4 linked regions of the Tamandua tetradactyla genome follow. Each later gene encodes a partner of the first gene's protein in a complex. Links are inferred from orthologs where the notes say so. Each region holds a gene or a part of one and is shown in the gene's direction. Other genes may lie near its edges. The genes, in order: PCNA, LIG1, MCM2 and DTL.

The links.
Region 2: the proteins of PCNA (region 1) and LIG1 are in contact, whole or in part, in a cryo-EM structure (PDB 8B8T), measured with the Homo sapiens proteins. The link is inferred for Tamandua tetradactyla from reciprocal best matches to the Homo sapiens genes PCNA and LIG1. Residues at the interface, in NP_002583.1 of Homo sapiens: Met40, Ser43, His44, Val45, Leu47, Leu126, Gly155, Arg210, Ala252, Pro253, Lys254, Ile255; in NP_000225.1 of Homo sapiens: Ala361, Gly363, Arg364, Ser368, Ser388, Thr389, Gln390, Arg391, Leu392, Met393, Leu394, Val432.
Region 3: PCNA (region 1) and MCM2 share a complex: the UniProt entries of both Homo sapiens proteins name them as parts of the replisome complex. The link is inferred for Tamandua tetradactyla from reciprocal best matches to the Homo sapiens genes PCNA and MCM2.
Region 4: the proteins of PCNA (region 1) and DTL are in contact, whole or in part, in a crystal structure (PDB 6QC0), measured with the Homo sapiens proteins. The link is inferred for Tamandua tetradactyla from reciprocal best matches to the Homo sapiens genes PCNA and DTL. Residues at the interface, in NP_002583.1 of Homo sapiens: Met40, Ser43, His44, Val45, Ser46, Leu47, Glu124, Gln125, Leu126, Gly127, Ile128, Pro129, Ala208, Tyr211, Asp232, Val233, Pro234, Tyr250, Leu251, Ala252, Pro253, Lys254, Ile255, Glu256; in NP_057532.4 of Homo sapiens: Ser705, Met706, Arg707, Lys708, Ile709, Cys710, Tyr712, Phe713, His714, Arg715.

What each region holds. Positions count from the first base shown.
Region 1 is NC_135327.1:55,684,082-55,691,582, forward strand, and holds the start of PCNA (proliferating cell nuclear antigen), read left to right. Parts: upstream 1-4,484; 5' UTR 4,485-4,678; coding exon 4,679-4,899; intron 4,900-5,756; coding exon 5,757-5,854; intron 5,855-6,038; coding exon 6,039-6,106; intron 6,107-6,689; coding exon 6,690-6,884; intron 6,885-7,501. UniProt on the Homo sapiens protein: Auxiliary protein of DNA polymerase delta and epsilon, is involved in the control of eukaryotic DNA replication by increasing the polymerase's processibility during elongation of the leading strand.
Region 2 is NC_135342.1:12,941,052-12,948,065, forward strand, and holds the start of LIG1 (DNA ligase 1), read left to right. Parts: upstream 1-4,012; 5' UTR 4,013-4,047; coding exon 4,048-4,093; intron 4,094-7,014. Other genes in the region: uncharacterized protein ZSWIM9, read right to left, coding at 1,864-2,138.
Region 3 is NC_135335.1:30,176,540-30,184,527, forward strand, and holds the start of MCM2 (DNA replication licensing factor MCM2), read left to right. Parts: upstream 1-4,970; 5' UTR 4,971-5,092; coding exon 5,093-5,098; intron 5,099-5,930; coding exon 5,931-6,160; intron 6,161-7,988. UniProt on the Homo sapiens protein: Acts as a component of the MCM2-7 complex (MCM complex) which is the replicative helicase essential for 'once per cell cycle' DNA replication initiation and elongation in eukaryotic cells.
Region 4 is NC_135330.1:70,022,671-70,029,851, reverse strand, and holds the start of DTL (denticleless protein homolog), read left to right. Parts: upstream 1-4,175; 5' UTR 4,176-4,466; coding exon 4,467-4,518; exon of another isoform or gene 4,519-4,626; intron 4,627-7,181. Other genes in the region: INTS7 (integrator complex subunit 7), read right to left, coding at 3,919-4,012. UniProt on the Homo sapiens protein: Substrate-specific adapter of a DCX (DDB1-CUL4-X-box) E3 ubiquitin-protein ligase complex required for cell cycle control, DNA damage response and translesion DNA synthesis.

The sequences.
Region 1 (7,501 bases):
GTATATATAGACAATTTCTCACTATAAAAAAAAAAAGGAATCCTTCACATTACCTTTCACCTCCTCTTCTATGGAGGAGCACCTCCTTCATGACAAGGAGCACCCCAATTCTCTTTTCTGCTCCTTGTCATTGTGGGGTCATTTCTTCCATGCCTGCGGCATATCTGGTTTATAGTGATTTATTTTCACAGCACTCCTTGGTTAGTTCCTTTATTTTTAGATGCTATGTTGATTAGTAGACATAAATAGCATGGGATTCCTATTTCTCTGGAATGTGCAGACTTACCCAGAGCTCAGTGTAAGTCGGCAGCTACTGCTATAATTATCATTTTATAATGAATAAAAATACTTCCCCTCAATGTTGAAATCGTACAAGCAACCCCAAAATTCATCATTTCCCTGAGAGTGGTTTCCTCTCTTTTACCAAAGGATTGTCAATAAACTAAAAAAGCTTTCTCTATTCGATATCTTGCCCTTCATACAGGCTTTCTAGTTCTTAGTTTGACAAGTGTTCTCAGACAGATAAAGCTCCTTATTCATTTTAATGTGGTAACACAAGAAATGGAATTAAGAGGCTATGCAGAGCTGTCAACCGTATTAAGCATTAAAAAATGCAAATTCTGTATTCCTGAAAACTTACAGCTCTATCAATTCCTAGACATTTCACTTAAACTGTATGTTAGTCTCCTCTCTAACAAACTGAGTCTTTTTCAAAGCAATATTCTATATGGAGAAGCAGGTGGCTTCAAGCACAAATATTCATCTGTTGATCACACATCATATTAACAGTGCTTTTCAATCGTGATTATTCATTAGAATTACCTGGGAACTTCTAAAAAAAAAGATACTGATGGAAAGGGCTACCCAGACCCACTAAATAAGAGCTGGAAATGGGGCCTAAAGGAAAAAGGCCATTTTTCGTTTTTAAAACCTTCCCAAGTGAGTCTAATATGCAATTAGCCTTGAGAATCATTTTGATACATTATCAGCTTGTGAAAAAATTTGCTGAAAATTTATGCAAAATAGTTTACAGCTTTTTTCTCTCCCAATATTCATTAACATTTTCTGATCAACAACACATCTTGAGTGAAGAATGTTTGGAAAATGCAGAAACATATAATGAAAGAAATTAAAACCATTTGTGGTAGCATCAGTTGAAGATAATTACTGCTAACATGAACATTCTTTCCATTCTGTTTTCTGTGCAGGTATACCCAGATATAGTAATTTAGAAAATTGGAACTATGTTATTTATACTGTTTCATAACTCAACTATTCTCTTTATCCTTAAATACTCTTTGAGAATGATCATTTAAAGGCCATATGGTATTTGATCTAATGGATTTACCATAATTTACCTAAGACCATATTATTAGATGTTAAGGTTACTTCCAATTTCAGTTGAATTATTAATAATTCTGTAAAAAACATTCTTAAACAAGCTTGATCTTAAACATTTCTGATTATATCCTCAGAAAAAAATCCTAGAAATTGAATTCTGTGTCAAAGAATAAATACAATTCTAAGCGTTTTGATACACATCGTCAAATTCCCACCAGAAAAGTATACCATTTTATACTCCTACCTGCAATACAAGATGGTGCCCATTTCCTTGAATTTTTTCTAATAGTGTGTTAACACAATTTTTATTAATGTGGTAGGTTAAAATTAATATTGTTAGGTTAAAATTCCATCTTCCCTTAATTTGCATGCCTTTGCTTATTAGTGTGGGGAACCTTTTTAGTTTTTTCATGTAAAGACTGGGTCTGGACTACTGAAAGCCGGATACCTCTTTCTTTTTGTTTCAATTAACAAATTTCTCTTTTTTTCCTAAGTCAATTTGAGATAGGTTCTCTGTCACTGCAAATCCAAAGTTTAATAACCAACACAGTGCTTTTAGGCATACTGAAGTTTTAAAATTTATGTAGTCATTTCTTATCTGTTATGTATTTTTCCCTTTGCTTTTAGGTTTAGAAGCCCACAGCAAGATCTCATAAATATTTATCAATATTTTATTTTCCATTTATTTGAATTTTAACTGTTTAATCTATCTGGAATTTATTTTGGTGATTAGTTATTAGGACATCTATGGCTTTATACTTTTCTGAAGTTTTAACCAATTGCTTGATCATCTTTTACTTAATTCATTCTTTCTCCCATTGATTGGAATAGCATCTTCACTAGATCTTAAAGTGATTCTCTTAAAATGCAAATTGAATATGTGAAACACCTGCATTTGGTAACTTTCTCTTGCTTATATAAGGCCTACAAAGTCCTAGATGATCTCACTCCACCTCTTTTTGCAACCCAACCTCGTAGTATTCTCCCATTTGATCAGTGTTTCCAGACACATCAATCTCTGAATACCAAAAGAAACACCTTCCTGTTTCAACGCCCAGCATGTTTTCTTTAAACAAGCTATTCTCTCAGCCTGTTGTTCTTCCTTCCACTCTCCAAATGGTTAGATATTGGAGGATAAATAAGCCTACTCAGAGAGGCCTATTCTACAGATCATAGCCCCTCATCTGTTCTCATTTCAACTGATTACTGAGTACTGTGGGTATCACATGGGTCAAGTTTAATTACTATTTAAGATGTCTTCAAAATGATTACACACTAATTTGACATTAAACCAAAATGCTGTTATGTAATCAGAAAGCACTGAAACAGTAGCAAGCATGCATTTGCTATAAATGATGCAGGGGCTTGGAAGAAATTCCAGAGACAAGGAGTAGCACTGGAGAAGTGCTGCATAATCAACAACATTGCAACACACAGAAGGGCATTATATAGAAAAACAACAGTTTCAACAACTACGGGGGAATCTCTGAATGTGGAGAAATGTTAGGAATGCCTTAACCAATTTATTCTGCTTATATTTTTCTTTTTTATGTAGGTATGAGTGGCATGTGATAAAAAAAACTTTAAAATTTAAAAGCTCTGTTAATAATTACAAAATGGAAATTCTAAGTGAGAAGTTTGACAGTATGTTTATTTTTCTTGTGCTATATGAAATAATGGTGCATCTTTCAGTTGGTGATATCTTACATTCAGTGAAATAGATGTCTAATAGAAATGTGAGAGGGAGAAAATGGAGTAAACAGTGTCAATATTTGTAAATTATACGGTTGAGAATATTCTAGACGATGAAAGACATGAATTTTCTGATTCAGTAAGCACAAAATGCCCTGAACAGGATAAATAAAACTAAATCCATGCCTAAATACACAGTAGAAAAAACTGGAGTGCTACAGACCAAGAAAAGATATCAAAAGCAACTATAGAGAAACACCAACACAAAAGAGAAACAACAAGCATCTATGGGAGGGAGGACATATATATAAATATATATAATATATAATAAGTAAATTATTAACATATGTAAAGAGCTCCTTTTATCAGTAGGAGAGGAGCAAACGGTTTGAGAAAAAAAAGAGTAAAGAATATAAAGAAGCAATGGTCAAAAGAAAAGTGAAAGATGCCCCAACTTGAAACAATTTTTAAATATACAAATTGAAATTTTCACACAAATGAGCACAAGATTGCTAATATCTACATCTGGGAAAATAAGAGGAAATGAGTATGCTCATAAATCTCAACTGGAATGTAAACTGCAGTTATTTTAGAGGCCAATTTAGTAACATTTACCAAAAATTAACATGCATATGCTCTTCAATCCAGCAGTTCTACTTCAAGGAGTTGATTTCATAAAAAATCATTGAAAGGCCCAAAGATGTTTACTACAGCAGGAAATTGATAAAAGTAGTTACCCTCTATGGAATATTTTGACGTCTTAACAGGAAGTGATATGGAAAAGACGTCCGTGACATAAAAGGAATTTAAGTATTTTGCAAAACTGTTTACCTTGTGAACCAATTTCTTTTTTTAATGTGTATTTCTGTAGAAGGTGGGGGTGGGGGGAACCCAGAAAGCTGTATACAGTAAACGACTGAGGTGGAGCTTGCTGTGTGTGCGAGGGAAGGGGAAGGGAGTTGAGCGAACTTTTTTTAACATAACTTTGTTCACCTCTTTAATGTTTGACGCTTTTAGGAGTGCATCGCTTCTATAATAAAAATAAAATGTATATTTAAAGGAACTGTACTTTTCAGGCTACAAGGCAACATTTCCTCCGAAAGGCTTGATTTGCGTTCACTTTCACTTTCGTGGCTGGAGACAGGCTGGCCCGACAGCGGGAGGCAGAGAACGCACAACAACCGGACTAAAACCGTAGGGCTGGGGCTCACTCGCCGACTCCGGGAATGGCCCACCCACCCCCGACCAGACTCGCCTCCACAACGAGACCATCGTAAAACGACTAGGAAACCTGCGCCAACACCACTCCCCACTCCTCTGGAGGAGCAGAGTGCCCCGCCCTGCCGTCCGCCCCCACCAATGAAACCTTGATGGAGGCGGGCTTCGCGCGGAGCAGGGATACGATTGGTCGCGGGCGGGGGCAGCGTGGTGACGTATCGACCCCCGGCGCAGGGGCGGACTGCGCGCTCTCGCCGAGGCGGCCCCATTAAACGGTTGCGGACGCAGCGGTCTGGACGTGCTTTTCCTCGGTCCCGAGCTCCTGGTGCTGCGTTTGCTCGTCCGCTCGGATCCCTGTCAAGCCTAAGCCGACTAAAACTTCCTTCTTCTCACTCGTTTGTTACCGCATTGTTGTGATTCCGCCACCATGTTCGAGGCGCGCCTGGTCCAGGGCTCCATCCTGAAAAAGGTACTGGAGGCGCTCAAGGACCTCATCAACGAGGCCTGCTGGGACATCAGCTCGAGCGGCGTGAACCTGCAGAGCATGGACTCGTCCCATGTCTCCTTGGTGCAGCTCACCCTGCGCTCTGAGGGCTTTGACACGTACCGCTGCGACCGCAATCTGGCCATGGGCGTGAACCTCACCAGGTGAGACGGAGGCAGCGGGGAGTCTTCGCGCACCGCCATTCCCTGATCTTGGCGGGAGAACCACCGAGCCTGGCCCTCATTGGCTGACGTGGGCCGCCTGCGCCTTCCCATTGGCCTACGGCGCCGAGGGGCGGGGCCGGGCGGCGCGCGCAGTTCGGGAAAGCCCGCGCTGGCAGCCGCGCGAACCGGCTCTTTCCGCGCCACAAAGTCACAAAGCGGGCGGTGGCGGGAAAAAGCTTGCCTGAGCTGTCTGGTCATCTCTCGCCGGTGGTCGTACATGGGGAACCTTGGATTAAGACCGCTTTATTAACTAGTGAGAATGTGTCGGTTGTATCTGGTCTCTTACTGCTAAGAATTCTCTGAATATCTAAAGATCCTTGTGCATGTGCGAAATGTTCTGCAGCTTTGGCTTTCAACATTATTGACCATTATAACTACAGGAAGACGTTTTCTGTTGCAGTTTGGGTCACTTACATATACACACGGATAGGTAGCACAAAGGTTTCTAAGAAATAATTGACTGATAACTACCTGCAATGTGTTCCGATAGGTTTGCAGCACCCACTAAAGGCATTTGCAATACGGAAAGTACTGCTCTTTGGCACATAACCAGATGTGAAATTGCTGGTCGTACGGTGTGCGCAGTTTTAGTTTAGTCCCAAATGTATATACTGCTAAATTGCACTCCAAAGTGGCTGGACCCATTTATACATCCCCTAACGGTGTGCTCTTCTCACCAAATTGTCAGACAACTGAGCAGGTGAAAAATGGTAAATCCTTGTTTTAATTGCACTAGAAATCTATAGGACTTCTAGGACATAGGAGTGATTTAAAACCCTCCCTCTTCTGTGTTGTAGTATGTCCAAAATACTAAAATGTGCTGGCAATGAAGACATCATTACATTAAGGGCTGAAGATAATGCAGACACCTTGGCTCTGGTATTTGAAGCACCGAGTAAGTCATACCCTTTTACTGAGCTATACTAGAAAAAAACGCAGTTTCAGTATTTCTCAAAGCTGTGAGAAATTTAAGATGATTTTTTTTGATGCCTGTAAAATTTACATTGTAATTATAAGCTTGCATCCTTCTTTTCATCAATATTTGTTTTGTTTTCAGTTTTTTTCTTTTTTTTTGGTAGATCAAGAAAAAGTTTCAGACTATGAAATGAAGTTAATGGATTTAGATGTTGAACAACTTGGAATTCCAGTGAGTATCACAAGTTTCTGTTGTTGGGCAGGCTATACACAGTCATGCTAGTTATACAAGATGTTAATTTAACCACTAGTCTTGAACTTCATATTTTAAAGCCTACTTCCTGGCAGAACTTACTAGAAATACTGACACATGTTTCAAGCTGGGTTCAGTGTTTGGACTAACGTTTGTCATTACAAGTAGATTTTAAAACTTTGTTGAGCAGAAATGCATTAGAGTTAACTTTATCAACATCAGAAGAGAGAAGAAATGCTTAGATGTCTTAGATGCTTTAATGCCTGTTGTGTTTTTTAGAATTCCTGTGCCATTCCCTGATATCCTCTTGATATATCCCTTCTGAGGGATGATTAGATAGTGCATTTACTATTAAAAGTTTAAGCTCTAATTTGAGGTTTGTTTTTTTTAGTACAAATATTCCTATAACTATTACATGTGTATTTTTTTTTGAATAGAGTATATTGTGAGATAACACGATGTCTTAGAATCAGAATATTTAAGTTGGTGGCCTTTTAAGTAAGTAGGGTTGCTAAATCTTTAATTACAAGCAGTTAACTTACTTTTGTTTTTTGTTTTAAAGGAACAAGAGTATAGCTGTGTAGTAAAGATGCCTTCTGGTGAATTTGCACGTATATGCCGAGATCTCAGTCATATTGGAGATGCTGTTGTAATTTCCTGTGCAAAAGATGGAGTAAAATTTTCTGCAAGTGGAGAACTTGGAAATGGAAACATTAAGTTGTCACAAACAAGCAATGTTGATAAAGAGGAGGAAGCTGTGAGTACAGTTTTTGTTTTGCACGGGCAGACACTGGGAATCAAACCTGGGTCTCTGGCATGGCAGGCAAGAATTTTGCCACTGAGCCACCGTTGCACCACACTAGGTGGGACTTTGGTGGGGGGTGGGGGGTTTGCATGGTCCGGGAATTGAATCCAGGTCTCCCATATGGAAGGCTACCATTGAACCACTCATGTACCCTTGAGTACAGTTTTTTTTTTGTCTGTTTGTTTTTTGTTTGTTTGTTTTTTGTTTTTGTTTTTTTTTTTTAACATGGGCAGGCACTGGGAATTGAACCAGGGTCCTCGGGCATGGCAGGCGAGCACTCTTACCTGCTGAGCCACCGTGGCCCACCCTTGAGTACAGTTTTTTTTAGGTAAATAAATATTTGAAGGAAATTATACTATTGTTTAACATTAGGTTAATTGCTGAAATTAAAGAAAATTCTAAAGAAACAAACATGTCTTTCCACATACAACTAATTTGTGAAAATAAAAATACTGTTGAAAACAGCCATCTAATTTATAATTCAGTCTGTGAGAGGGGAAGGCAAATTCAGTGCTGCTTTTACAAACCACAGAACAGTAGGTTTGTGGATCAAACCTATACATCTTCCA
Region 2 (7,014 bases), on another chromosome or scaffold:
TACTTGTAGAATGCTTGGGACAGCGCCTGCACACAGTAAGCATCATGAGTTTGTTAAACCAAATACATACATAAATAAAACCCTCAATGTCCTCACTAGTCACCTCCTCTGGGAAGCTTTTCAGAACTACCTGGTAAGCACCCAGGTTACCATGCCTCTTTTATTCTCCTTTCTGCCCTCCTCAACCTCTCTCTCCCTACTGGGGACTGGTGAGCTTATAATTTTGTTTCATTTGTCTTTGTCTTCTCTATTAGGTTCAAGGGCAGAGATCAGCTCTGGGTGCCAAGTGCCCAGTGAAGGGCATGCACATGGTAGGTCTTTAATATATGTTGTTATATTGAATTGGGTTCTGTTAACAGAGAAATTCTAGATTAGGCCTGACCTGCTTGTGAGCTCTGGATTTCTGCATGATTATATGTTTGACGCTGTTCTGCTTTCACATCTCTGGATCTGTTAAGCAGGGAGTAAATAAGAAAGAAGAGTAATCCTATAGTAAACATTTAAACAGCTATGGATGAGAGGAGCTAGCTGTTAGAGAGTACTCACTCTGTGCCAGATGCCCTTCATACATTTGATATGTATTACTAAATCCTCACTAAATCCTGAGATAGATACTATTACTTCCCCACTTTCCAAAAAGAAAACTGAGGCCCAGAGAGGCAAAGCCACTTGCTTGAGGGCATTGGTTAATCAGTATAAGAGCTGTCCTATGTACCATACGACACTGTGCACGCCCTATCTGATCCTGGCTGCTGGCTCCAGAGTCCACGCCCTCGACCCCCCTCACAGTTATCATTTAACCAGCTGCCCTGCATTCCAGGAAGTTGGGTAAGTGCTTTCCTGTGTGTGATCTCACCATAACCTCACAACAGTCCCATGAGATAGCTACTGCCATGTTCCCATTTCTGAGATGAGAAAACTGAGGCTGAGAGATACCCATCCAGAAGTCGGGGTCCCATCTCAGGCAGCCTGAAGGCAGAGCCTGTGTGTTTAAGCATTCCTCTCTCATCTATGGCTCCCCAGCCAAGGGTCTCATACCCATGCATCTACAGGGGCCAGGGAGGCAAAACAAGGATGCAACACTGCAAAGAATGAGGCAGCAGAGAGGTGGGGTTGGGGTAATCCTGAGCACCAATGCCTGTATACAGGGGGTGGCTATCTGCTACACAGGAATAGGGGCTCAGCCAATTCCTGTGTTTCTAAGGGAAGCTGGAAACCCTACATTGTATGGAGAATGTTTCCATTTTAAAACGGGTCATTAAAAATAGCCTTGGTCACTTGGGTGGTTCCCTAGCTCTCTTGTGGATTTCTCACCTGCTCCTTATCTTTATAGCATTACACAGTTGTACAGAATTACTTGAGAGACTGACTGTCCATTTACTGTCAGTCTCCCTGAAAGTTCCAGAGGGCTGGGACTTTGCCTGTAGGGCACTTTCTTACCCCCTGTCCCTGGCTCTCCCTGTTCCCAGCACCCAGCATGAGGCCTGGCCTCAAGGGACAGATCTTTATTTTTGTCCCTGTGGCTTTCCCTGCACCTCAATCTCCAAGTCTCTGTTCTGTTCTAAGTGGGCAAAACCAGGGTCTCTCCCAATTTTTCCCTGACTCCAAGTCTCCAGGTCTCTGGAATTTTTTGTCTATGGGGTGGGTCTCCATCTCACTCTCTGCCTCTCTATAGATCTCTGGCAAAGCCTGTAATGCCTGCTCTGTCCCTTCCTCTGTTTCCCTTTCTCAGCATGTTTCTCTCTTGGTCTCTCACCGTCTCTCTGGAAGGTATATTTGTCTGTCTCGGTGCGACTGTCTCTCCACCCCTCCTCCAGACCCCCCTGCTCCCTCCCTGCCGGGCAGCGGCTCAGGCTCACGCACCCTACTGCGGGCCGGCTGGGAGCGCGCAGGTCCTTGCACACGAGCCGCACATAGCTGTACTTGAGCACGTCGATGAGCGTGTAGAGCGGGGGTGCACCGGCCCAGCGGCAGCGCGCCAGGTGCATGGAGCTCTTGACGAAGAAGAGGGCCCGCCGCTGCAGGCACCATGCGTCGAAGAAGCGACTGAACTCCGCCCAAGAGAAAAAAGCCCGCTCCCGCAGTTCCTGCTCCTCCTGCCCCGCCACGGAGCCGGGTGGGGGCTCCAGCCGCTCCATTCTGGGGCGCCTGAGAGGGAGTGACAACTGGGTATCAGTTCCGTTCCTTCCTGGGATGTCCCACTTCCACCACTCTTCACCTGCCCCTTAAGCGCTGGTACCTATACTCTGGTGGGGTCAGGGATGGATACACCCATTTTTATCTCCAGATATGAACAGCGCCCCCCTCATCTTTTGGCCATCTGTGACACACTCTTCCTGGCGGCTACCCCTGGAACAGCTAGGGCCTGTCACCCTGATCCCTAATTCCAAGACTGGTCCCCTTTCCCTAGAAGTGAGTCCTGGGTCCATTTGCGGCCACTCAAAATACGACAAGCGTGTTCCCAACTACAGCTGAGTCCCCCCCCCCCCCACAACGAGCCTCTAACACTTGGCGGTTACCCCCCACATAATCCCCATTCATGTGGGACTCCCCCATGTACCTTCACTTGGTTGTAACTCCACCTGCCCTGAATTCAGCTGTATCCCCTTCTAAAGATGCTCCACAACTATATGTACTGCCCCCCCCCCCCCCCACATCCAGTCACGGACCCCTTATCCCCAGACGTGCTCCTCAAGCACGTGGGGCTTGCTCCAGAGATGAACCTCCAATATTGCAGCTGGTGCTGGTCCCCCAAATGTGACCCCACGTGCCATCCGACTGTGACTCCTGTTTCCCAGAGATGCTTCCATTCAAAGTGTGCTCCCCACATCCAGTTACGGCCTCTTCGCCCACAGGTGCTTGCCCTATCCATTTGTGGCCAATTATCAAAAGTGTCACAAATAATTCATCTGTGACCCCTCTCCTCCCTAGATGCGCCCCTGTCAGATGCATTCAGCTGCGTCTCCGTTCTGTCAGCTACGGCCACCATCCTCCCCAGATGTGTATTTTCGTCCTAGACTCGGCCTCTTATCCTCACACGGGCTTCTTCATCCCAGATGCTCCCCGGATCCAGGTGCATCTTCCTCCCTACCTCGTGTAATCCCTTCCAGCTCGCTCCCACTTCGCCAGTCCGGCCCCATCCACCGCGGCCCCTCCCAGCCCGGCCGTCCCACCCAGCTGGGCCTTTCCCCTCCTCCAGCTGTGCACCCTTCCCGCCCCTCCCCACTCACCTACGCTCCGGATCAGCGTCCACCTCCCACAATGCCTCGCGTCGGAGCACGGCGCGGCCCTCGCTCCCGGGATGCCCTGCGCAGCCTGCCGCCTCTCTTCCCGTCGTGCCTCGCGCCGCGGCGTTCTCCGAATTTCCTTTACTCGCCGCGGGTCACTCCAGCGACCAGGAGCCACACCTGCTCACCCAGGCGCAGGATGTTTCCCAGCGTGCTCTGCGTGAAGGATCGCCCCGCTTATCCTCTTCTTCCGACTGCCTCCGTGTCAGGGAACTCCAACTCCCAGCGTCCCCCGGGAAGCGACGGCAACTTCTGGCTTGCGGAAGTCACCCAGGCCTCGCCCCTCGGCTCGGCTCCGCCCCCGGCCGCCAAATTCTGCGCGCGAATTCCGTGGCGCGAGTTTGGGCTGCGGTGGCGCGGCGAGTGGTTCTAAGCGTGGTACCCGGGACAGCAGTGTGCGGGGCCGGCGCGAGGCAGGTGGGGCCTCCTGCGAAGGGCTGGGGGGGTTGGAGGCAGCGCGTGACGAACGCTTGGTGCGCTTGGCTTTGCCGGGCCCGGGTCGCTGCAAGGGAGTGGATGTGGGGGATGCTGAGGGCGTGGTGGGGAGAGGTGAGCGCGGGCAGCGGGCTGCGGGGCGCCGGAAGGGACGGGGGGAGGCTGTCTGACGGAGAGGGGCCTGAGAGAAGGTAGACCAGGGCCAAAGCCTGTCAGCCCGGAGGCATACGAGAGAGGCCTGAGGGGGCGGGGCCAGAGAGGACGGGGGCGGGGCCAGTCAGTACTCGAACTGGCAATCTGAGACGGGACGGGGCCAGCTACTGCTATGAAGGGCCGGAGGAGGCGAGACCAGCTTTGTCTTGTTGCCCAAAGTGAGGGGAAGGAATAGAGGAGCTTGGGGAGGGAAGACCGCTGAATCTTGACCTTCTTAGGAGCAGGGGAAGCTTGAAGGGTCAGGGGAAGGGCACTTGGCCTGGAGAACAGCGTTTGGAGAGGGATGCTGTCTCTGAAAGTCAGGGGGCCTTGAAGAGGGATACAGCAGAAAAGGGGTTAAGGCATTACCTCTTGGCCTTATCCCCATTTTTCCCCTTTTGAATAACTTATTAGGCATCCTACCAAGGGGCGTGAGGGAAAGTAGAGTCGAAAAACATCTTAATTTCTTCTTGTCTTAGAACCCCTTAGAATCTACGACTGTAGATTTCCCCCAGCATTCCAGAGATTCTGATGCAAGAGGTCAGGGGGTGGGTGGGGATTTTTTTTAACATTCTTTATTGTGAAATATATACAAAAAAGCAATAAATTTAAAAGTACATTGTTACAAGTAGTTATAGTACAAATTTCAGACTTTGGTATGGGTTTCAGTTCTACAATTATAGGTTTCTCCTCACTACTGCAGGACATAGGAAACTAAAAGAAGTATCAGTATAATGATTCAGCAGTCATACTCGTTTGTTAAATCCTGTCTTTGTTCTAACTCCTCCTCCTCCTCTGATCCTTCTCCCAATCTTTAGGGGTATTTGAGTTATGCCCATTCTAACTATTTCATGTTGTAAAGGGCTGTCGATAATAGGGAGATGTATCGAGTTGATGTTTTTGAAGAGGCTGACCCCTCTGGGTTTCAGGATTTATCCGGCCTAGGAACCCATCTGGAGGTTGTAAGTTTCTGGGAAGTAGTCTTAGTGTGTGAAACTTGTGTGTGAAACTTTTGTAGAATCTCAGATAGAGCCCTAGGTATTCTTAAGGCTTAACAGGAATGGAGTGGTTTTCTTTGGGGTTTGGAAAACTGGTAATTAGCAATATCTACCTGAAGCTTGCATAAGTAGCTTCTAGAATAGGCTCTCGACTCTATTTGAAATCTTTTAGCCATTGATACCTTATTTTGTTACATTTCTTTTCCCTCTTTTTGGTGAGGAAAGTATTATTGATCCCATGGTGCCAGTGCCACTGCCAGACTCATCCCTGGAAGTCATGACCCACATTGCAAGGGGAACGTTCACCCCCTGGATGTCATGTCTCAAGTATTGGGGAGAGTAATGATTTTATTTGCAGAGTTGAGCTTAGAGAGAGAAAGCCCATATCTGAGCAACAAAAGAGGTTTCCTGGAAGTAACTCTCAGGCATAACAATAAGTAGGCTTGGCTTCTCTGCTACAGAAGTAGGCTTCACAAGAGCAAGCCTTAAGATCAAGGGCTTGGCCTATTGACTTGGGAGTCCCTAATGTTTGAAACAGTATCAGGAGTTTACCCAGTGGTAAAGCTTAATAGTTACATATTTTTTCTCCATCCCTCAAGGGATTTTTTCAATACTTTTTAATTATCTGTGCAACATACTCTGGGATGCATCTGGGTATTGCTTTAAGCTATACAGATTTACAAGTCCTCCTTTCCATTCTTGGCTCCATGTGTTTGAGTTGTTTAAATGAGCTATGCAGACAGGTTGAGTTAGATTATGTGCTACATCAGATTTAGGTTTTGGACAAAATAATCTTCTCTTCCTTTGGTCTCATGTACTAGGTGAAGTTTTAAAATACAGACAATGTCATTTTTCCCTTGTATTCTGATTTACCTTAGTCCCAACCCGATTGTCTTCATTCTTATCTCTACTTGAAGCCTGATCTTTTTTTTTTGGTTTTTTTAACAGTTGTTGTACATAGATGGCAGTGCTGACTTTCAGAAGGCAGAATTCCAATTCTGAGTCTTAGGTGTCACTCAGGTAGCCAAAGTTCCAGGGAGATACCAAGTTATACATATGTAACACAGCATGTCAAAATCTAGGAATAATATTTACATCTCTGGACTAAATGTGACTGCTATAAGAGCTTACAATCTAGGCCCCGATTTTCTTATGAATATTTTCTAAAAGAGACCATACAATATTTGTGCTTTTGTTTCTGGCTTATTTTGCACCACTTAATGTCCCCAAGGTTCATTCACCTTGTTGCATGCCTCACAACTTTGTTCCTTTCTGTAGCCACACAATATTCCATCATATATATGGAATATGTGTATATATACACACACACACACACCACAGTTCACCATTCTACTTCTCATTCAGTGTAGCCTTCAGTCACTCAATCCATTGGGCAGCATGTATAATGTCCAAAGTCAACAATTCCTGTCTCACATTATCTTCACTTAGTTGTATAATCAACACTCTTCAATTTTAGATAATTTTAATTGCTCCAAAGCGAAAAATAACCTACAAACCAACCCTCACCAAATAGAAAATCCGAACCTCCCCTTCTGTCCTTCCCCGTCCCTCCACTCCCACCCTCCAGTTATTTACCCCTAGTATTGCTGTGGTTTGTTGATGTCTTCCTGGTAAATACAGACCATAACATGCAATAATAGTTTTACCCTTATACCCCTCTATTATTGATTCTTTGTACAAGGTTCATACCTTTGAAGTAGTTCATGCAAGAACTTAATTTGTAGTAGTTAATCAGTGGAATACATGAGTCTATACAACCCTTTTCAGTCATGTTCACCTTCACTTTGTCAATATTACTTATAAACCCACTATTGAACTGCCTTCACTTCTGTCCATTCAGATATTTTAAACACAAATCCCAGGTGATTCCTGGAACTGGGATCCTCCATTTCTGGTATCATTCATGAACTGGTTGTGTGGTCCTGCACAAAGCACTTTGTTTATCCCAGCTCAGCTTCCTCAATTCTTTTTTGAGGGAAATGAATCTCTTTTAAGTCTCTGAGGATGGGGGGGGAGGTAACATATTTAGGGGTAAGGTGTAAAATATTTGACAGGACATAGCTAGGAGAGCAGACAGGTCA
Region 3 (7,988 bases), on another chromosome or scaffold:
GGTCACTCCAGCCAGTTGTGAATTATAAGCCCCATTTAACAGAATAGGACACTGAAGTGGAGACTGTTGAAATAGTGAAGAATTGCAAAGTAAAAGGGAGGGATCTTATCTAGTGACCTTGGCATCAAGCCGTCATCTAAAGAACACAATTTCATCTGGACTCAGAGGGGAAGATTTCAGGAGAGATGAGTCCATCTCGGCCCCACTGTGTATTGCCTGCACCCTGACCCCCTACAGCCAATCAGTTTCAAGTCCCACCCATGCCACTTTGAAATTAATTCCTCCCCTTCCTTCTCTTTTGGGTTATGATACATTCAGCCTGCAAGTAACAAAAGTCGAATGAGCTGTTGTTTAAGCCACAATGACATTTGTTCTTCACTGAAGTCATCCAGAGGCTGGATGGGTTTGGCAGTTCAGCAGAGTTTTCGAGGATTCAGCTCAAGTGATTGCCCAGCTATGCCATTATGTCAGTTTGAAAGTATTTATGTACCCCAGAAAAGCCATGTTTTAATCCTGATTAAATCTTGTGAAGGCAGCCATTTCTTTTAATCCTAATTCAATACTGTGGGGTAAAACCTTTTGATTGGATTGTCTCTGTGGCGATGTGGCACCTCCAATTGTGGGTGTGACCTTTTGATTCGATGGAGCTGTGACTCCACCCATTCGAGGCGGGTCTTGAATAGTTTACTGGAATCCTTTAAAAGAGGAAACATTTTGGAGAGAGTCAGAAATGACAGAGCAGAGCCAACACAGAGGCTGACAGTTGGAGAACAGAGACATGATGTTTGGAGATGCTTGGAGCCCAGCAGATGTTACCATGAGATGTTAAACAAGCTGGAATCTGGAGAGAGCCAAGGGAAGCCAAGAGATGAAAGCCTGCCCCAGAGAAGCAAAGTGAGGAACCCCCACAGGAACAGAGGCTGAGCGCAGTGGAGCCCAGGAGCAAAGGACCAGCAAATGCTACCCATGTGCCTTTTCAGCTGACAGAGTGTTCCAGACCCACTGGCCTTTCTTGAGTGAAGGTACCCTCTTGTTGGGGCCTTAATTTGGACACATTCATTTCCTTATAACTGTAAACTTGTAACTTATTAAATTCATTTTTAAAAGCTGTGCTGGTTTGAAAGGATGCATGTTCCCTAGAAAAGCCATGTTTTAATCTAAATCCCATTTCATAAAGGCAGAATAATCCCTATTCAACACTGTATGTTTGAAACTGTAATCAGATCATCTCCCTGGAGATGTGATTTAATCAAGAGTGGTTGTTAGGCTGGATTAGGGGATGACATGTCTCCACCCATTTGAGTGGGTCTTGATAAGTTTCTGGAGTCCTATAAAAGAGGAAACATTTTGGAAAATGAAAAAGATTCAGAGCGAGCAGAATGACATAGCCACGAGAAGCAGAGTCCACCAGCCAGCGACCTTTGGAGATGAAGAAGGAAAATGCCTCCCAGAGAGCTTCATGAAACAGGAAGCCAGGAGAAGTTAGCAGATGATGCTGTGTTCGCCATGTGCCCTTCCAGCTGAGAGAGAAGCCTGACTGTGTTTGCCATGTGCCTTCTCACTTGAGAAACCCTGAACTTCATCAGCCTTCTTGAACCAAGGTATCTTTCCTTGGATGCCTTTGATTGCACATTTCTACAGACTTGTTTTAATTGGGACATTTTCTCGGCTTTAGAACTGTAAACTAGCATCTGATTAAATTCCCCCTTTTAAATACCATTCTGTTTCTGATATATTGCATTCCAGCAGCTAGCAAACTAGAACAAAAGCCATCCATTTCTGGTATATTGTATTCCAGCTGCTTGCAAACTAATACACCCATCTTCAGTGTATTGGTGACTCTCTGCTCATTAGTGACAGGAGGGCTGTACAGGTGTCAGCATATATCTTCACATTAGAGCAGCTGAACCCTGAGAAAGAAGCAAGTGGGGTAGGCATAGGAAATTGTCTCTTCGTTTGGCAGGGGTTATCTACAGTGGGTTCATATTGCAGTGCTGGCAATGTGACCTAAGTGGGAGCTGGCTGGAGGTTTCTGTAAATGTTTTCCCCCTCAGTGGAAAAGGCTGTAATAAGGAGGAAGACTTTCTGACGTGAGAGGCTTAGGCCAACCCTAATTTATCCCCCAGAGCTGCCCAAGTAAAATCAGATTCTGGTGACTAGGAAGAAGGGATGGCATTCAGATAAGGGTGGAGGAGATTCCTGGTTTTGCACCACACCCTTCTGCTGCCTTCCATCCTAGAAGAGGTAAAGTTAAGCACATAACCAGCCAGTTAGATGCTACATTGCCCAGCCTCCCTCACTGTTAGAGAGGGTCATTGGCTAAATACTCACAAATGGATCAGGAGTGGAAATAATGTAATCACTTGTTGTTCTTATTAAAGAAAATTGAGTTTAAAGAAAATTGAGTGTCCTGGTCTTCAGGCCTTTCCCTTTTCAGAGCTGGAATGCTGATGTGCCTGCAGCAATGTGAATGAGACATGAGAATGGTGTGACAATGGGTTGCTGAATGAAGTGCAGGAGAGCCACCCACCTACCAGGTCCATCTCCATCTGACTTGATACAGGAGAATGAAATAGACATCTCTTATCTCCAAAACCACTATACTTTTGGTCCTCTCAGAATAGCATAACTAATTCTGTAGGCAGTCAACAGTCTCAGCCATAACCCCATCCCCAACTGTCCCCACTCTGGCTTAGGCAGCATTCTGTCTATATGAATGAAGACAACACTAGCCTCTAGGCTCCTCCACTACCCATTCATATCCCATTGCCAGCCAAAGTGATTCTTCTTAAATGCAATTTTAACCCTGCCACACGCCTGCCAAATTTTTCTGATAACTTTCTGATACCTGTAGAATTAAAGTCCTAGCCCTTTAGCCATGACCTGGCCTCTGTGCAATTGTCATGTCATGAGCTGCACCATGGAGAGGCCTCATGGCAAGGAAACAAGGGAGGCCCCACCCAATGGCCAGTGTGGAGCGGAGGCCCTCACTTCAATACCCTACAGGGAAATGAATCCTGTCATGTGGGTGAGCTAGGAAGTGAATCCTCCCCCAGCTGAGCCTTCAGATGAGACAGCAGCTCCAGGCAGTATCTTGACTGTAGCCTGGTGAGAAACATCAAGTCAGAGGTACACAGTTAAGTCATACCCAGATCCCCAATCCACGGAATCTTGGGATAACAAATGTTAATTGTCTTGAGCTGCTAAATTTGGGGATAATCTGTTACACAGCAATAGATAACTAAAACAATCCCATCCACTATCTCTTCTCTAGTTTTTCCCTCAGCATTCCTTTGGCAATTCCTTCCCAGCATCCTTTGTTGGTGTCCGTCAAGGTTTAAAGCTGTAGATACCCCAGAAAAATATACACTTAAATCTAGTCCAATCCTCCGGGTGTGAAGCCATTGTAAAAGTAGGGTCTTTTGATCAGGCTATTTCAGTTAAGGTGTGGCCCACTTCATTCAGGATGGATCTTAATCCTACTACTGGAGTCCTTTATAAATGGAATTAATGCAGAGAGAGAAAGAGAAAGCCATAGAAGCAACAAGCTGAAATCAACAAAACATAGAAGAGAAGGGAGAGACCAGCAGATGCCACCATATGCCTTGCCGTGGTTCAGCCAAGGATTCCTGGCAACTGGTCTCCAGGAAGAAAGCATTGACTTGATGATGGTTTGATTTGGGCACTTTCTTGGCCTCAAAATCTGTAAACTAATAGATTCTTATCATTTAAGCCAACCCATTTCATGGTATCTGCTTTAAGCAGCCTAGGAAATGAAAGCAGTATCTATTAACGGTTGGGGCTTCTTGAAGAAGGCCCAGTCTTAGGCCTTCTTCTCTCCTCACTGCACTCATTCTCTGGATTATGCAATCAGTCCCAAGCCCTCTATAGCTTTATCCCGTCTCCTGATTCCCAGACCTGAATATCCAGTGGCTTCCACTCAGAACCCATGTGGAACACAGCCAGAAAACAAATTAATCTGCTGCCCGCATCCCCAACCTCACTTCCCCAATTAGCTTGTCTTCCTCCCGTGTTCCCCATCTCAGAGATTGAGCCTCATCCTCCTAGTCTCCTAGGCCAGAATCCTGGTGCGATCTTGGATCTCTCCCTTTGGCTGTCCTTTAGCATCTTTTAAACACCTCTTAGATGTTTCCTGTCCTCACCATGTCTCCTGCCCCTACCCTGGGCCTAGGTCCCATCTAGAGGAGCTTGTACACAGCACAGAGCACCTGGCCAAGGCCGCTGAAATCCAAGCCCTGCCTCTGCTCACCAAGTGAAGTGCCTTAGCCAAGAGTTGCCTGTAACTGGAGGAATAAACTGGAGCAGCTTCCTCCCTCATTTGCCACCCTTCCGTCTGGTCGTGTCCATCTCCACCCTGTATTAGCCTGAGGGGGGTTTCCTAAAGCTCGCTTCTGTCTCACCTTGCTCTTTTGTGGCTCTCCATTGCCCTCAGGATAAGATTCACATTCCCTAGGCAACACTTACTTTTGTAAATTGTGCGCTCTAATCTCAAATCTTGTCTCTTCCTGAGCATCCCAAGTTTTCACGCTGTCTCAGGCTTATGTCTCTGCACATAACATTCTTTTCTACTTGGAACATCCTTCCTGCATCTTTACTCCCTTTGTGGAGGACAGATCTACTAGATGCCGCTTCCTACAATGCCAGGGATCTTTTCTGTGCTTTAAATACTGGGCCTTAGAGCTCTCAGAGAAGTTGTCCTCTACTAAAACAGTCAGTAGGCCATATAAACAAGCTCTGTTGAAGGGATCAGCCACTCAGACCCCAAGTGCCTCTTCTATAAAACAGCCAGAACTTGACCAAGGCTCCAGTTCACCCACATCCAAAACCAGGGGCTAAACCGCTGCGAGTGGGCACACTTGGCTGCGCCCTCTGGAGGCGGGGCCCGCAGGCCGGCGTGGGCGGAGCCGGATTCGCTGGCCCGCCCCTCGCGCGCGCCGGCGGGACGGAAGTCGGCGTCACGACGCTGTGTTCATTACTCCCGACGCTTCCCGGGCTCGGGTGGGTCACGTGAGTCACTTTTCGCGCGAAATTCGGCGGCTGCCTGAGGAGCGGGAAGGAGCACGGCGTCGCGATGGCGGTGAGCTGGCCCGGGCGCGGCGGCGTGGGGTGGGGCGGGCACTCCCCGCGCAGGCTGCACGTTTGTACGGGCTGTGCCGGGCGGAGTGTAGACGTGCGTGGCTTGTCTAGTCCTCAGGCGCGCGCCCTGCTCCCGCCCCGCTTCACGGCCCCGGCGAGTTCCGGTGGTCCGGGCAGAGCTTGGGAACCCGCTTCTCTCTTTTCCTCCCCTTTTCCGCGGTGTGAAAAGCAAGGGGGCCCCGCAACTGTCCTTTTCCTTCGCAGCAATCTAGGCTCCCGAAGCCGAGCCCGGCTGGCTCGTGTCCTATCCTTTACTCCGCCTGCGCATGCTTACTGGGCGCCATCTCCCTGCCTGGTCTTGGGCAGACGCCAGACTAATTGTGTTGTACTGTTTTATTGCCCGTCCCCGTCAGTCTGTGAATTCCAGACCTGGTATATTTGGGTTGCTGTTGTAGCCTGGCACTTTGTGGGGGCCCAAATGGGTCGGATGCATGCTTAAAAAAGGTGAAAACAGACTATACCAGGGCAAATAAACAAATGGCATAGCACGAGTGATTTCTCAGGTAAGCAGTATCTGAGCTGGGTCCTGGATGTTGAGAAGCCAGTGGCTTCTTGAGATCAGGGGAGAGCCCTGCAGACAGAGGGAATAGGAAGTACCAAGGTCCTAAGACTGGCAGGGGGCTTGGTGTGTTTGAGGACAGGGTCATCAGGACTGGTGAAGGGAGAGATTGGTTGGAGATCAGATGGGAGGGGAAGGTCACCCCTTAAGACAGAAGGGAGGCTGTGTCAGCCCTCATCTCACCAGTTTTTAACAGCAGCAGCTTTTCTTGCAGGAGTCATCTGAATCCTTCACAGTGGCATCCAGCCCAGCCCAGCGTCGGAGAAATGCTGATCCTCTTACCTCCAGCCCTGGCCGAAGCTCCCGTCGCACAGATGCCCTGACTTCCAGCCCTGGCCGGGACCTTCCTCCGTTTGAAGACGAGTCCGAGGGGTTACTAGGCACAGAGGGGCCCCTGGAAGAAGAAGAGGATGGAGAGGAGCTTATCGGAGATGGCATGGAGAGGTATCTGAGACCTTGGACTCAACAGATTGCTTTGTTTGCAGAAAGCCTATTGTGTGCCTGGCAACCTTTCTAGCATCAATTAAAATCCTTCTTTGCCCTTGCGCACAGCTCGATCTAGGGTCTAGGGGGAAACTAGACAGATTCATGGAACCCCAAAAGAGGTCCATTTAACTCAGAAAGGCTAGACCCTAAGGCCTCAGTAAGCCCCAACTCCATGAGGTCATGGGGAATGCAGAAGGGCCACAGCAGGAGGTGCCAATTTAGTAAGTGGGCAGCCACGTGTTTCTCTGCTGCTTTTCAAAGAAGCGGTGTGATGTGGGTCCAGTTAATCAAGACTTAGCTTTGTTCTAGCAAACGTTTATTGGGCCTACTCTACCAAGATGTGAGTTATATACCTTCACATTTATTATCTCATATAACCCTCATAAGAATAAACATGTATTAAAGGTCATTGAGACTTAATATTAAGACATGGTGGAGTAAGCGCTGCAAGTGAGAAGGTTAGATCTCTACTCCTAGCCTGTATTCACTGCTTGGATTTGGTAGATACTTTAGTATCTTTAGAATTGTGTGGTTGCTCAGGAGCCTCATGTGAATTCTCCTTTTGTGCCTATCTTTACCCTCACTTTGGGGGTCCCAAACTTAGTGGATGTGAGACTGCTATACGGGCCATGGCACAAAAGGTGAATGCTACTCTTTATGAGCCATTTAAGGGATTTTCATAGGTACCTTGGCCATATAGGGTTTTTCCTTTAAAGACTTCCCGTAGAACCTTACACAAGTATGTGTTCAGCCCTAGCCAGCCTATAGGAAGGAATAAAGACTCTTTGGAGAAATCTCCTGGACCTAGGGACAGGATATACAATATGGGTGGCTTCCCTGTTGTAGGCTATGGAGTTTTCAGGCAGGATGCCCCTCCCCAGCCTTCTCTCTCCTGGCCTTTCTCTTTGTTTCTCTTTCCATGTTTCATGGAGAGTGAGAGACATTGTAGGGAGCCTCAGGATAGAGGCATCTAAGCTGGCTGCCGTTGAGTTAGGTTTTGGGTGTGTGTGTGTTTGAAACAACTTTATTGAGGTGTAATATAAAATTCACCGTTGTAAATGTTGAGTTCCATGCTAAGTTGTGCGACCACCACCACAATCCAGTTAAAACATTTTTCCATCATCCCAATGAAATCCCTGTGCCTTTTTTACAGTTAATCCCCCACCCCTACTCTAGGCAACCACTAATCTACTTTCTGTCCCATAGAGATTTGCTAGTTTGGCACATTTCATATAAATAGAATCATATAATAATGTGGTCTTTTGTGACTGGCTTCTTTCACTTAGTGTAATTTTCAAGGTTCATCATTATTTAGTAGCGTGTGTTGGTACTTCATTTCTTTTTATATATTTATTTTTGGGGGTGGATATACCATATTTAGTTTATCCATTGATCAGTTGATGGCCATTGGGGTTGTTTCTGTTTTCTTTTTTTTTTTTTTAACTGTTAATGAATAATGGTGCTATGGCTGTTTGCCTTTGAGTCTTCCTCTGAACATGTGTTTTCATTCCTCTTGGCTATATACCTCTTGGCTATATCCCTGGATCAGACGGTAACTCCGTTTAAGCTTTTGAGGAACTGCCGGACTGTTTTCCAAAGAAGCTGCACCATTTAGCAATCCCATAAGCAGTATATGAGGGCTCCGGTCTTCAACACCCTTTCCTAACACTTGTTATTTTCTTTTTGATTCTAACCTCCTGGTGGGTATGAAGTGAAGTTTCATACCACTTTTGATTTGCATTTCCCTAGTGACTAATGATGTTGAGTGCCCTTTCATTTGCTTATT
Region 4 (7,181 bases), on another chromosome or scaffold:
GGTTATGAGAGTGGGAGGAACGCCGGAAAGCTGAAACCAACTGGTATGAAAATTTGTTTTCCTGGTCCCCATGGCTGACCACGCTCTTAATCACCATAACAGGACCCCTAATTCTCATACCATTAGGCTTAATGGTTGGACCCCATATAATAAACTGTCTGAACTCATATGTGCAAAAAAGAATACAAGCTATTAAATTATCAGTCCTTCGAACCCATTATCAACAGATTTATAATCAAAATACAGAAACAATTATTTGATTCTCATAAAACCAGTGGGGAATGTGGGGGGTCAGGAGCAATAAATCAGGCCCTAGCAAGAAGAAGGTATCCGGAGTCACAAGATCCAGGGCGGAAAGTTCCCAAGAGTTAAAAATTGAACAATAATCACTGTTAAGAAACTAAAAGAATGGGATGTATTTTGCAAGAGCTAACGGCATTTTTCTGCTTCAGTAGATGAGCTTGCTTGCTTACAGCTGCAAACCAAGATGTGGCTCTAAAAAGATAATGCCCCTTTCCTGCTTCTGTGGATAAACTTGCGTTTTTTGCCTTTATAAGCCCCCCTTGAGAATCTCTCAGGGCTGCTCTCTGAATCGTCCTTCTTGGGGGTTTCTGAGGCAGTCGCTGGCTGGCTAATAAAGACTCCAAATTGGCTTGCAGTTTTTTAGAATTGTGTGGTCTCTCTTTTGCTGCGCCCCACAACAGTGTTTGCCATTCCTCCACTTTATCAGCTAGGCTTTTCCTGATTATCCTACACAAAATGATAAAATCAACCCCAACCACATACCCAGTTTTCTCTAGCCCCTTTCCCTTGTTTCATTTTCTTTATAATATTTATCATTCTTTGCACAATAAGTTTAATATATTTTATTTTCTTTTTCTTCTTTCTAGAATATAAACTCTATGAGAGCAGGGGTTTTGTTAACTGCCATATCCCTAGCATAAAGCATCATAAAATAAGTAGTGTGTATGAGTGTGTGCGTTTGTGAGAGAAACGGAGCAGAAACTCCTATTAAAATACTTCTGAAATGGTATTATTTGCAACCATAAAAAAAAAAAACACAAAAAATGGACAAAAAGACTTAAATAGACAGAAAATATACAAATGGCCAATAAGCACATGAAAAGATGCTCAAAATTGGGGAATGACATTAGCCATTAGGGAATGCAAATCAAAACCAGAATTAGATACCATTTCATACCTACTAGTAGAATGGCTACTATTAAAAAAACAACAACAGAAAAGTGTTGGAGAGGATGTGGAGAAACAGGAACACTCATTCATTGCAGGTGGTAATATAAAATGGTGCATCTGCTGTGGAAAACAGTCTATAGATTACTCAGAAAGCTACGTAAACAATTACCATATAATTAAACAAGCATACTCAAAAGAATTGAAAGCAGGGACTCAAACAGATATATGCATACTAGTGTTGCAAGAGGCATTATTCAAAACTGCCTAAACATGGAAGCAATGCAAATGGATAACAGACAAATGGATAAATAAACATGATATACAGAAACAATGGAATGATTTAGCCATAAAAAGGAATAAAGTTCTGATACATGCTACAACGTGGTTGACCCCTGAAGATATGTTGAGTGAAATAGTCAGACACTAAAAAACAAATATTGTTTCATCTCACTTCTTTGAAATTAGAATATGCAAATTCAGAGTCGGAAACTAGAACACAAGATGTTGCCAGGGGGGGTGTACAGAATGGGGAGTCAATGTTTAATTCGTACAGAGTTTCTGTTTGGGGGCACTGGAAAAGTTTTGGTAATGGATTGTGGCCATGGTAGCACAGCATTGTGAATGTAATCAACACCACTGAATCATATATTCGAAAGTGGTTTAAATGGGAAATTTTAGGTTGCATATGTGTAATCAGAATAAAATTTTAAAAAAATCATATAACTGTACAACACAGTGGACTCTAATAGTTTTAAGGACTATAGTTAATAAAATGAATTATAGTAATATTGTAATATTGTCTCATCAATTGTAGCAAAAGTTTCACACTAACACCAAGGGTTAATAATACGGAAGATTGTGTCTAAGGGGGCATATATGGAAATTTCAAACTTTCTGCATGATTTTTCTATAAACATACAACTTCTAGAAGGAAGGGGAGAGAGGGGGAGAGAGAGAGAGAGAGAGAGAGGGAGAGAGAGAGGGAGAGGAGAGAGAGAGAGAGAGAAAAAAAAAGAAAAAGAAAGGGAGGAAGGTAGGAAGGAAGAAAGGAAGAGAGAGAAAGGAAGAGAGAAGGATAGAGAGAAGGAAAGAGAGATAAATAGTTTCCTTGCAGTACATACTGGGAAACTGATCCAGAAGTTTGAGAACTAAGAAAATTAAAACTCATAGCCTTCTGAGCCTATTGACTTTTGGCTCACAAAACAAATACTTTCATTAACAAGTGAAAGACAATAGGATTCAATATTTAAAACACCATATGTAAATGAAACTGGCCTTAACATAATTTAAAAGGTGCAGCATGGTGATGTAAGAAAGGACAAGAGTTTTGTTTTTATCTTGTTTTAAATTCTCTTTCAGATCCTGAGACTCATCTAGAACATTGCTAGGAGGATTGAATATATGATCACTTAGTATGTACAACTGATGCCTGATTTATGGTTAAACACTCAATAGTCGGCCATTTACAGATCTAAAATGTTTCTATTTCATCTCTTCTTTAAGAAGGAAAACAATTTGTTAAATTTCTTTTCTTCGCATAACCGCAAATTTTTAGGGATTATGTTTTTCTAGACTGCTCGTTTCTTCTAAGCCCCATCCTGATTCATGTCCTACAACCAATGTCCTACTGTCAACATAGGACAAGTCCCACTGGACCAGTGGTAGAAAGTATCTTTAGAAATGTAAGAGATATTAGATAAAACCGAGACCTGTAACTCTCACTGCGGAATAAGAAAGTATTAGAATAAGGAAGGAAAGATACGGTAGTGTTTTAAGAACAATATAATTTCATAATTTTACATTTCAGTGGGGGGGCAAAAGCTTTTATAAATGAAAGCAAAGAGCAACATCACCTTCTTGGTTGATGGGGATGCACTAAAGATACTGTGACTCAGCCAAAGGACTATTCAATTGAGGTACTGTGACATTTTTATGCTAATCAAAATGATATAAAGGGTCAAGAAAGTCTGAGAAACTCTAATCTAGACCAAAATACTAAAAATGCTTAAATTAAAAGAACCAAACCAAATAAAACCCAAGCCCCCCAAAAGTTAACAGGCATGTCCAAGTTGCATAAAAGGTAAGTGGCTCAAAGCAGTGTTGTGACTTAAAGTCCAGTTCACAATACACGCATACATTAGCTACAGATTATCAAGAATTAACTGTACTACCAACATACAAAATATTTCCCCCAACACAATAAAAAGTCCTTGTAGTACAATAAAACAAAGGTTTCATTTTAATACTTGACTTCTTTACTGATAACTATCCACCTTGTCTTCCATATCCATTTATAAGAAGGAAGGGACATCTTCTTAGCATTTAATACAGACCTCTTTTGCATACACTTAATATTTACAACAATCTTGCCAGGTCATAGGTACTGCACCCACTATCAGTTGTCACTCAGCATTTTTAGAAACTAGCCACTTTAACTATTTGGAAAATCGGGGTACTATGCCCTCAAGTGGTCCAAACAGGGCATCACCAGAGGTCGCTACTTGTTCATCGGTGCAAGGCCAATCAGCGGATCCTGCAGGGTTTCCTCAATTTCCCCCAACAGCCAAAGCTCTAGCCTCATCCAGAGCACAAGGGCAGGGGTTGAGTCCCCGCCCAGAAGGTACGCGCACGCGCCTTTCCCGACGCTCCCCAGGCCAACACCACCTGGGGGCGCCACGTCCCCCCCCACATCTATTTCCCCACTCAGTCCGCTCTTTCGAATACCTTTGTCTAATTCCATAAGGGCAGAGTTAGCATCCAGTTCCTGTTCGCCATAGCCAGCATCTGCCAGGAAAGACTTAGTTGAGTTTGACGCCATGGCCCGAACAGTTTCTTCCCTAACCTATTCATAAAGGTTGCAAACGCTGTCCCAACACCGCCATCTTCTCACACCGCCTTCTCGCGAATTTTTCCGCCGTGCGCTGGCATTCCGTGTTACGCATGCGCCCTGGCCACCACGCGGTTCGCCAACGCCCGTTCAGTCCCCCGCGCAGGCGCTCAGGGAGCTATTGCGCTCCAGGTTCCCGCGGATGGGAGAAAAGGAGGCGGGGATAGGGCGGGAGAAATGACTCTAAGGCGTCCGGACGCCGCGGCAGGAGCCAATCAGAGATCGTTACGTCAGTTTGGCGCGGAGTTTGGTGGCCGGAGCTTGCTGTGGCGGGAGTTGGAGGCACCAACGAGTCGTGTTCTGAGAGGCGCAAGCCACGATTCCTGCTGCACTTGGGGGCATTTCCGCAGGTTTCTTCGCGGTTGAGCCTTCTCCTTCGGTCCAGATGCTCTTCAGTTCGGTGCTCCGCCAGCCCCAGTTTGGCGCCCCGAGAAATGGTAAGTAACGGTCCTAACCGCTGCTTGTTTGCTGGCGGTATCCGTCTTCCGAACACACCTCAAACCAGGGCAGACTAAAATTCTGTTTCCCAACCGACTTTTCCCACGGTAAGAATGAATTAGTGTTGACGCGGACTACTAAGTAAGCTGTACTTTCATTCCCTCAGAATACTTTTTTAAAAATCACAAATATAGGTTGAAGGTGAGAGGAAAGATGAATTAACTGGCCTCCAACGTTCCTTAGGGCCTTAGGTCTGTGTGTTACGCGTTAACCGGGAATCGGCTGCATTTTTTGTTGTTTTTGTCGTTCTCTGTATAATCATATGAGATCCACCAGGACGCCCTGTATTCATTTTGTTTAATTAATTCAGTTGTGTAGAAGCTTACTGAGCCCTTATTTGCTGTGTTTGGAGGGCCACCGATAAATATGACCGGATGCACTGTTAGGAAACTCGGTCACGCAGAGAACGCAGGACATTTCCTGCTGGCAGGGTCCAAATCTCCCCCACCCCCACCCCGATTAATATATGTTCATAAAAATTGGAAATTATTAACTGGACGATCACCATGACCACACCCCCAGACTGTTAATAGGTTGTTTATTCCAGATGTTTTTCGATGCCAGAAATAATACATAGGGTGCTTATTTACAGAGATGAGATCAGAATGTTTTGTTGTTCACTTTAGTGGCTTAACTTGAACATATTTCTATGTTAGTGCGTAGAAATCCAGTTTATTCCCTCAGTTCCTCCTTGACAAGAAGAGTTTTGAGTTTCAATTTGGATGTCATCTACCTGAAACTTTCTAATAGGGAATTACTACCCATTTAAAAGTCGAGTGTACAGGGAGTCTATCATTTCCTTGAAACCATTTGAAAAACAAAAAATGTGAGAAGAGAACCTTCTATGTTTTAAGTGGTAGGTTTAGGAAAAGAAGGTTGAGAAGTAATTCCTCAACAGCCCGCTCTTAATTTAAAACGTTATGCCATCCTTACCTACTCCCCTCTTAGTCTTTTAAATTATGTTCTGTATGTTTCCCTTGTCATGAGTGGCAACATAAGGCTTTGTCTTTGGAGTTAAACAGCCTGTGTTCTAATTCCAGCTCCACTCCTTACTATCTGTGTTGAGACAAGCTATTAATATTTACCCTGTATTTTGTGATGAATTTTCTCCTAAATCTCCAATCTATCTGTCTACTTCTTCCACTTCCTCTTTCTCTTTCACAAATATTCATGCATTGCTATGTTAGGCACTGCAATTTGTGGGACCATCGCCTATCCCTTCAATTTGGTATTCCAATCTTAGCCCCTTTTCCTCTTCTACCCACTCCTTTGGATAATCAGAGCAATAACTGGGGCATCTTCCACTACTACCTATAGCCTTCCAGATCCTATGCTCTTTTTAAAAAAATTTTTTAATGTTTTTTTATTGTGAAATATATATACAAAGAAAAGAAAGAAAAAGCAATAGTTTTCAAAGTACATTTTAACAAGTAGATACAGAACAGATTTCTGAATTTGTTACGGGTTTTCATTCATTCCACTATTTCAGATTTTTCCTTCTAGCTGCTCCAAAACACTGGAGGCTGAAAGAAGTATTAATATAATGATTTAGCATTCATACTCATTTGTGAAATTGTATTTTCTTTGTTATAACTCCTCCTTCAATCCTTCTCCTGTCTGTAAGGGTCTTTCGGCAATGCCCATTCTGATTTTTACATTTTGAGAAAGGGTGTTGACAATGAAGGATAGGGGGATGTAATTAGTTGATAATTTTGGAGAGGCTGATTCCTCTGGATTTCAGAAGTTATCTGGCCTAGGCACCCTCTGGAGGTTATAGATTTCAGGAAAGTAAACTTACTGCATGAAACTTTTATAAAATCTCCATTAGATCCCTAGATATTCTTAAGAGTTAACAAGAATGATGTTGGTTGGGGTTTGACACAACATGGGAATAGGCAATATTTAGCTGAAGCTTATATAAAAGTAGCTCCCAGAATAGCCTCAGTACTCTATTTGAACTCCCTGGGCCACTGAGTCTTATTATGTTGCACTTCTTTTCCTCATTTTGGTCAGGAAAGTACTGTCAGTCCCACGGTGCAGGGCCAAACTCATCTCTTAAAGTCATGTCCCATGTTGTTAGGAAGACTTCCCCCCAAAGGTTGTGTCCTTAGTGGGGAAGTAATGATTTTCCTTGCAGATTTGTAGACCTTAAGCTTTTGACTCATTCTTACAACAGCTGTGTGGATATCTGCACTGAGCTCGTCAGTCTCATAGCCATCTAAAACTCACACGCCCAAAAACTGAACTCATTACTCCCTCAAACCTGCTTTATTTCCTATTTTAGAGAGTGTTCCCAGTTTTAAACCAGTCTTCCCAACCAGAAACCTGGCAGTAACTCTTCACCCCATCTTGAATCTGTTCTAGCTTTACCATGCCATTTCCCTACCTTCTTATCTGTACTGTTTCTCAATGTTGAGAAAGGCAAGTTTCTCAAATGGCCTTAGTTTCCCCCTCTCCAGTTTTTTCTTCAGATTGTTGTCATAGATCATTCTAAACTAGAAATCTGACTACTCTTCTGTGCATTTTCAAGTTGATAAACTAAAATTTTTTATCATAGGTTTAAACAGATGCAAAGAATATAATTTCTGGCATATTGTGAATA